Linked DNA regions of Drosophila melanogaster. The protein of the gene in region 1 interacts with the protein of each later gene in a pairwise test. Each region holds a gene or a part of one and is shown on either strand. Other genes may lie near its edges.

Region 1 (3,002 bases):
ATTTTTAAAATAATTACTTGAAATGGGTTTTTGCTAATGCGAAATATATACGTTTAATAATTAACTAATTACAAGTAAGCAGTATATCAAATGTTTATCTATAATTGGAATTAAGAAATTAAGTGCATTATTTTCCACCTATATGCGCAATTTTGAAAATTACCTAATGATTAGAATCGCAAACGAGCGATTATTAGGAACATTTCTTAACCAGACAGTTTATTCATTTCTTCTGAAGCTCCAAAGCTTACCCCATTCGTTAGATACACAAAAAACTTCAACCGACAGTTAACCAGTTTATAGGTAATTCAGTTAGATTCCCATTCCGCTCGCTAAACGTGATTTGGCTGACTAAAATTGTCACACCGATACGGAAGCCACTTGGAATATGATTTTATGGCCAGCATTATGATTGACTTGCGTTGGTGCGTTGATCTGCAATTGAAGGTTGGGCCGCGAAAGCTTCTCCGAGAGCTGTCAGTGCCAGGTGATATCGATATGGACGTGGATATAGACGTCAGAGAGGCACCGCCGTGATTTACATGCGGCGACGAATCAGTTGGACAAACAAGCTGGCGCTCCGATAAATGAAGTACACAAAAAGAGGCAAAACGGTGGGCAAAAACCCAGTTGAGTGAGTATAGTAGTACGTGAGTTAATCAGTTCGGACGGATAGTATTTAAGCCGCAATATCCGAGCGAGCCGAAATCATTCGCTCATCATCCACTCAACGGACTCGAAATGTGCTTTAGATATAGCTTCAGTTTCATAGTATTCGCGGCTGTTCTGCTCCTGGCAGCCGGAATTCGTGCAGCTCCCTCGGATGTCGTCGTGGAGAAGGCGGAGGAGCCCGCGGTGGCCAAACCCCTGCCTGATGCCAGTGAGCTCACTGTTCCGGAGGACTGTCATCAGCCCAAGGAAACCGGTCGCTGTTTCGCTCTGTTCTATCGCTACGCCTACAACGTGGATACACAATCCTGCGAGGAGTTCGTTTACGGTGGATGTGCCGGCAACAAGAACAACTTCGAATCCAAGGAGCAGTGCGAACAGGCATGTTTGGTAAAGTCTGCGGTTTCCTCCACGGACTCAACAACCGAACAAAACAGCGAAGTGGCCACAGAAACTAGCACCTCGTCTTAAAAAATTGTAGTTCTTAGTTTGTAATTTATTTGTCATCCAACTTCATCAGCCTTTTAAAAGCATTTCTTTACTGAGTTGATTATTTGAATAATTTGATTATAAATTTTAATAAATATACCATTGTGATTTATATATCTATTTCGTTTTATTCGCACATCTGGTACTAGCAGTACAGTATGTAGATACATTTGTAAGTGTCAGAAGTGGTTAGCAGTACATCTCGGAAAGTCATTAATTTCGAAACCCGACGGACTCACAAAAACTTGAGTCATGAATAGACGATTTTAATTAATCTTGGGAACTAAACAGTGTAAACAGTAATTTTGATAAAATATGACTACTTTTATAATGCACTTATATCGCAAAGATTCTGAAAACGAAATGTATAAATATATTATACAAGCAAAAGAGGAAATAAATGAAATTTGGGAAAAAATCGGACAAACCCACTTCCGAATGACAAATCGCTGCCTAATCGTGTTTACTTTATTCAGAACGTAGTTCCTAGATTTATTTGCTATTCCGGCATTATTTTCAGTACAAACACTAGCACTAGCACATAGTACTCGAAGTCTCGTCTGTTTATATACCAAATTCACGAGCACTCGTTAATGAACCGAAAGTTCATGAGCATATAGATAAGATCCCCAGCCAATATGTAGTTCCCATCTGCCGATCGGCATGGCGTATATAACCTAGTGCTACACCTCCGATTTCCATTAGTCGTTCCACGGAAGCTGGGAGATATACATAGTTTTCAAAATCGCAATCAGTATGAAATTCATTGCTGCCGTCTGTTTGATGTTCGCCCTGGTGGCTGTGGCCCTCGGCCTCAAGGATCGTAAGTTGGGAGCTGCTCAGGAAATCGAAACCATTCTAATTCACATTCTCAATCTATTAGCTATCTGTGGACTGCCCGCTGGTATTGATGGCAATGGTCTCATCAAGTGTGCCGCTTTTATACCCAGCTTCAGTTATCATCCCGAAACCAATTCGTGTGAAAAGTTCATCTACGGCGGATGCGGCGGCAATGAGAACCGATTTGGAACCCAGGAGCTCTGCGAACAAAAGTGCAAGGAATAAATTTGACCTCTATGCTCTACAAAATATTCAATAAATGATTTTCGATAAATAACTTTTTGGACGATTCTTTATAACTTACCTCATTTTACATCACATAAAGAAAAAAACAAGGTTCGTTTTGATCGCACTATCGGGCAAAGTTTAAGTTGCTGAATTAATTAAGAGACTAGAAAAAAGTACACCCAGAAAAATTGAGAATTAACCTTCGATTTCGAGACGAAAACGATCTGAATGTTGATATTTTCAGACGGAAGGGAAAGGTTGAAAAACTGAGAGAGGAAGGCAAATGAGAGCAAAGTCATTTGCAATCTGAGTATGGTGAGCATTATTCAATCTTAGCTAGATTTTGGGGTCGAAATTGTCAAATCGAGATGGTTGAAAACGGATTTTTCTCTGAGTGTCTTTTTTTTATTATATTATAGTAAAAAGAGGGGTTCCAACGAACAACTGAAACATTTAAGTGGAATTTTTAAACACTTACGAAATGGACCTATCAAATGAAATGAAATATTTTACGGAGCTTTCGCCATGGCCGTTGTAAGTATGACACTTCCCGTTGTTCCTATCGATAAGAGAACATATCCATAATTACAACACTTGTTGAGCTCATTGTATATTTCATATGATACAACAATTATAATGTGATGGGCTTTCCCTTTCAGGCGGCCAGTAAACAAAGTCGTTTCTGGGAAGCCGACGAATGTAAACACAATGCGGCAAAAATATTTACATAGATCGGTGCGAATTTTTGTGGAGATTTCCCAGTCATATGTGAGCTT
Region 2 (5,937 bases), on another chromosome or scaffold:
ACCCAGATACTTGGGATGCAGCTCGGAGAGCTCCTTGTCGGTCTTGCACGGTTTTAGCTGCTTGTAGTATTTTGGAGCACGGACAACGGGCGGTTTGCATTCCGGCTTTTTGGCATTCTCGGACTCAAACTTCTTGCACTCCCGCTTATCTTTTTTGTTCTTCGCGCACTTATCACTGACGCCATCCGTATGAGAATGTCTTCGATCCCGGGGGGGCAAACCTACACCCTTGGGTGGGCTCTGCTCGCACTTCCTGGATTTCTTATTGGCGCACCTATCGTCCGAGTGGGCAAAGCGTCGGTCGACCTGTGACAGAGCCAGAAATTGTGACTTCACTAGTCCCTTCACCTCATTAAGAAGCTGCGGGCGAAGTATTGATGAACTTTTGGCCAGAAACATAACTAAACGGAGGTTTTGGATTGGAACCGGTGCTGTGGCAGGTTGAGAGACACGAAATTTTGGTCTGTACAGGCGAACGCTCTGCTTTGATCTGGCTAACACCAAGGTGCTGAACCAATAGTTGGCAAGAAATCTAGTCCAAGGCCGCCATGATGGGATCTATTTTATTTACATTTCAACAGCTACTTCTCTATGGATTCCAGATTTAAGTGTGTAATTCCTCGAATACTGTCGCGAATTGAGCCTTTTCCGGGCCACGGACCAAATGGGTTTTCCTTGTTTGTTCTGCAGTTAATTGCGAATGGATTCGATGCCAGCGAATTTGCAATGTCCAGCTGCCTTGATTTGCAGGCAAATAACAATAAAGAAAAAATAGGCAACGCAACCTTCACTTTACGAATTTTTGCCCCAGCTTGTTTGCAAGTTAAATGCAAACAGAGTGCAGCCAGCCAAACGACAAAGCCCAACAAAAAAAAAAAAAAATAAAACAGAACGAAAAATATACATACAAAGCTGACCCCCTGCGAAAAAAAAAACAACAGAAGTCCACTAGAATAAGTATACGCCGCGTTGGTCGCCGCTCGCTGCTTGCTGTTCTCGGGGCAGTTTTCGCTTTTACGCCGCTATTTTCATTGGAGTCACTGCCGTCCGAGAGTGGCCATGCATGAGGGCTCCCATAAAATTGGGTCAATTGCTGTTAACAATTTGGCAGCGCAATCTTTTGGCCGTTTCGATTTCAAGGCGCTCAGGGGAAAAAAAATCGAAAAATAGGAAAACACAACGTGGGCCATAAAAAACGAGCACGTACGAGCGAACCTTTTGGAAAAAAACAATTTCCGCATAGAGTTGTTGGCCAGGAAAAATAGCCGCTGCAATCGGTGCTCCCCCGCGGGAGAACAGGAAAAATCCAGGGGGGGGGGAAGGTGTAGATGAAGCTGAAGTGGCTGGTCGAAAAGTTTGCTGGCCTTTACGCTAATTAATTAGTGCACTTTGTTTGTAATTCATTTTGCAAAAGCAGGGCTGGCTTAGTTAAAGTTTCCAGGGGCGAGGTTTGTTTCATAAAGCATGGACCGACTGCCTCCAATTCAAGAGCCCGGGCATCACTTTCCATTTAATCAACTGGGGAAACAGTCGACCCCAATACTTCAGCTCTTGTTGCCTTTGAGTGACTGCCAATGAAGTTACTGCCCCTAAAGCTGAGATGCACTTTAGCCGCTCCACTCCAATCGCTCCGCTCTCCGTGCAAAACTCAGACGACTAAGGAATGATTTCATTTACTTACAATCAATGAAATTGCACTGATGCAATTTTGTTTCGGCCCCAAAATAAACAGGCAAGCGGGTGGAACGGAGCTGGGATCGGGTTGTGGCAATAGGGATTCGCCAGGCAAAAGAAGATGGCGATGGCGAGGCGATGGCTAAAAAGTAACAGTTGCAGTGGGGCAATTGCGGAGGAGGAGCAACTGGGGGTCACCAACAAGCAACTACCAACCAACTCCGTTTGTCACGCTCGCCTGGCAGCCATGACAGCATTTGGTAGCCAGGAGCAGCTAATGTCTGGCGACAGTTCCCGAATCCCACGAATCCCCATGAATTCCCGTTCCTGTTGCTGGGGCTTCTCATCTTGCAGCCAGACACGTAGCCAGCCACTGTGCATTGGGTTCGGGTCGAGACGCAGAGAGATTTGTGAAAGATGTCAGGAACACTCTGCGACAGAGTCGAAAAATGAGCAGGAATCGTAGGCGAAGGTGACTGAGTCTGTTCGCCCAGCAAAGCACTCAACTCGACCAAATCCCTCTGTTTTTCAGCTTCCCCAGCAGCCAATATGAAGATAAGACCGCCGCTGCACAGCCAAGTGGAAGTAGCTTGAGATCCCAATCTCTGTCCAGGCTGGACATCTCGGTTCAAAACTCATCCATCTATTACAATGATACGCGAAACACGCGACCACAAATGGTCAGTGTGGCCGTCGGCACAGTTTCAACGGATATCCTGAATGGGCGCACATCATTCTTGTCCCTTAGTCAGTCTCACGGGAGTGAAGTGGATTTGCCTTCGTTCTACGAAAGCTTTAATCCAACTTTTCTTCCCAAGCTGCCTATCAGAAGATTTCCCCATATGCTTGTGGGGGCATCAAATGAGCCTGAGATTTCGAAAAACCAGCCAGCAATTCCACCATCTAGGCCAATTGAGCCAATATCTGAGGTGCCGTTTGTGGAACCGGCCTTTGAGAAAAAATACTCTAGGACCCGTGGATTTAGCAAGGAATTGTCCACACACAGGGATAATGAGAATGAATATATCGAGAGCACAGATGAGGTGTCTCAGATGTTGAGCTTTACTAGCTATACGGATGAATATGATAGGGCAGAACCACTCATTACCAAAACGCAAAAGTTTTATAAAAAGAGTAAGTTATCATAGCGCTGCCTTCCTTTTTACAAAAATGTTTTTTTTTTTATTTTTATTTTATTGTCATGCAATTGAATTTTGTCTAAGCTATTTTTGGCCATTTGCTTGAAATTGAGGAACCTACCAAATGCATTTCTTGTAGCTAAAACTGTAGCCTTCTTACAGGATCCCCCTTGATTCCCAAATACGATTCCGAGGATTCATATGTGGTCCCTAAGGAAACCGATCAACAGGAATCGGGTCTCTCGTTCAATGTAACTACAGTACAGTTGGCCGATACCGCATCGCCGGAATCTTTCAGCGAATACGACGGAAATCGAACGCGCAAGCAATCGTTCGACATGGAAAGTAAAAATTCGAAGGAGTCCTTTGACTTTAGCCGTGGTGGAAGACGACTTGGCTCCGGTATGGTTTTTGTAAGTGAGTGAATAGCATTCTTGTGGTGGTGAATTGAGAAACGAATGACGACTCTTGTCATCCACAGATCTATATGGTGATACCACCGGACGGCGGATTCGGTTGGGTAATCATGGTGCTGTCCTTCCTCGCCCAGCTGATAATCGATGGTTTAATTTTTACCATTGGGGTCTTATTGCCATCCATTGCCCAGGATCTGGATGTCTCCATATCGTCGGTATCGTTTGTGGCCAGTGTCCAGATTGGTTGCTACTTCACTAGCGGAGCGTTTTCTGCTGTCCTGATAAATCGTTTTGGTTTCCGAAAGGTAGCCATCGCTGGGGTCCTGTGTTCCGCAGTTTCAATACTGGCGTCCAGTTGGAGCGTCAGCTTGACCATGCTGATCTTCTTTTACAGCGTCCTTGGTAGGTTGATTCTAGATTGCTGTACGATATTCGATGAATAATAGTACTAGCCTGCGCAGGTGGTATTACGTTGAGCATGATCTGGGCAAGTTCGCAGCTGATTGTTGGCTACTACTTTGAGCGGTACCGTCCGATGGCCAATGGATTTTCCTGCAGCGGTGGCGGTGCGGGCATAGTACTCTTCACGTTCCTCAACAGCTGGCTGGTGCCAATCATCGGATGGAGGAACATGCTGCGGACGCAGGCGGGGCTGATAATGTTGATCCTGTTGATGGTGGTCGCCTATGTGGAGGTGGCTCCCACCCAGGTGGGCATGTACCATTTACCCGGTTCTTCGGATACCAGTTCGGATGAGTATTACGGCAACTTCTACGTGCATGACTATTTACGTCAATCCGCGATGACTGCTAAAAGCCGGAGTATCCTAAGTACATATGAGCCACGCCCAAAAAAGAAAGGATGCGCCAAGTTCTGCCCCTCCTGTTCGAACTGTTGTTGGAGGCGGCGGAAGAAGTCGCAAAATGCTGATGAGCAGAATCTGCTCATCCGCCCGGCGCCCCTGGAGCGGGAGGATCTCTTCTATACGGGTCCTGCCGAATACGAAAAGCCGCACAGCAAGGAGAACGTCGACGGCAAGGAGTTCCTACTAATGGGATCGGATAAGAACGTAAGTGTTGTATTAAGAATAAATTCGCTTCAACTTAAGAACACCACCAACTTTCACTTAGACCCAGCAAGTGAACTATGGCATCAAGAACATTCGTGTGGATGATGAACCCGATAGGATTTCTAGAGTTCATAGGGAACGAAGATGGTCAAACGAGAATCAGAAAAAGCAAAATTCCTGTAGGAATAGCCGGTTTATGCTCACTGTGCTCAAACTATTCGACTACCGCCTGCTGAAACAGTTTGAGTTCAAGATTCTGGTGGCGTCCGCCTTTCTGTTCCCGATGGGCTTTAATATACCCTTTGTTTACTCGTCTGCACGAACCACGATCCCCGTCGAATATGCCCGTATGATCGGCCCCATTATCGGAATTAGTAATCTTGTGATGAGAAACATCCTTGGCATCCTCGCTTACAAAAGGCGTAGTTGGACCCTCGGACTTTGTGGTTGTGGTCTAATTTTCGGTGGTGTTTCCGTTTTGATTAGCGCCTTCTATGGAGAGAACTTGATTTGGTTCCAGTTTCTGTATGGCTTCTCCTATGCTGTAGCGCCTGGTGCGTACATTTACTTACCTTACTTAAGTTTACAATATTACCCTCTCTCATTTCCATGGAATAGCTGTTTATTCCACACTGAGAGGTTTGATATACGTGAAATACCTGGGACTTTCAAAACTGACCAACGCTTTTGGGATTACCTCATTGGCCATGGGAATGGGCGCCTTTATTGGGACTACAATTGCTGGTAAATTGATAGGCATCACGGGAAACTATTCTGCTGCCTTTTGCTTTGCGGGATTATGTCTCATAGTGTCCGGATTTCTGAAGCTTCTGCTGCCCTTGCTTATTAAATGTCGCAACAGGATGGCCCAATGAGGAATTGGACTATTGGAATTGCAATATTTATTGGTTCTCCTGCTTGGAACTTGGGATTGTCTTACAACTAATAGCTTAGGCATTTTTATGACTTTTTTTTACTGGTCCTCGTTCCAAATTCTGAGTAAATGTTTGTATATCCATGTAATTGTTAATTGACCGATGTCATTAACTATTACTTCCTCCTTATTACAGATTTATTTTCAATATAATTTCAATTCAAGTGAGTTCTTTTTGGGGTTGACTTTTATTGCAATCCATTTTAAGTTATTAGTTAGCTTAGTTTACATCTAATATTAGCTTAGTTGCTGAACAACACACTTTGGCTCCACGCTTATAGGTTCAAGTGTGCTGTGTTTGGTTTTTCATTTGGTTTTGTTTCCATTTTTCCTTGTTTGGGTATGCAAATTTTCACGCTTCTTGTTTACTTTGATTTGCTTTCTAAACTTTGTACGTCTACTGTTCAATGTTTTGTTTTTTTTTTCTTCATTTTTTATATTTTATGATGATTTTTTTACATATTATTTAGAGCTAAAGCAACGAAAAAAAAAATATAAATCAATGTGAACACATAAACATAAGAATGTTTGAATCGACATCCGCAGGACGAATGACTCCAATCCTCTGTGTCCTGTGTCTAAATCTTTCTTGTGTTTTTTAATATTGTCAGTAGTCTTCCCCATCGTCGCCTCTAATTTAATCCATTTTTAATTGAAGTCTCTGCCGTCTGCGTTAAAAACAATGTCATTTGATAATGTAAAGTT

The links.
Region 2: the proteins of IM33 (region 1) and Targ interact in a two-hybrid assay, tested with the Drosophila melanogaster proteins (one large-scale study listed by BioGRID).

Annotation. Positions count from the first base shown.
Region 1 is NT_033779.5:3,695,511-3,698,512, reverse strand, and holds IM33 (immune induced molecule 33), read left to right. Parts: upstream 1-1,854; 5' UTR 1,855-1,914; coding exon 1,915-1,981; intron 1,982-2,041; coding exon 2,042-2,223; 3' UTR 2,224-2,295; downstream 2,296-3,002. Other genes in the region: CG3604 (uncharacterized protein), read left to right, coding at 742-1,140.
Region 2 is NT_033778.4:14,666,293-14,672,229, forward strand, and holds Targ (tarag), read left to right. Parts: upstream 1-2,098; 5' UTR 2,099-2,123; coding exon 2,124-2,146; intron 2,147-2,155; exon of another isoform or gene 2,156-2,206; coding exon 2,207-2,808; intron 2,809-2,975; coding exon 2,976-3,226; coding exon of another isoform or gene 3,227-3,230; intron 3,231-3,294; coding exon 3,295-3,631; intron 3,632-3,681; coding exon 3,682-4,298; intron 4,299-4,359; coding exon 4,360-4,852; intron 4,853-4,916; coding exon 4,917-5,173; 3' UTR 5,174-5,383; downstream 5,384-5,937. Other genes in the region: CG12860 (uncharacterized protein), read right to left, coding at 1-399.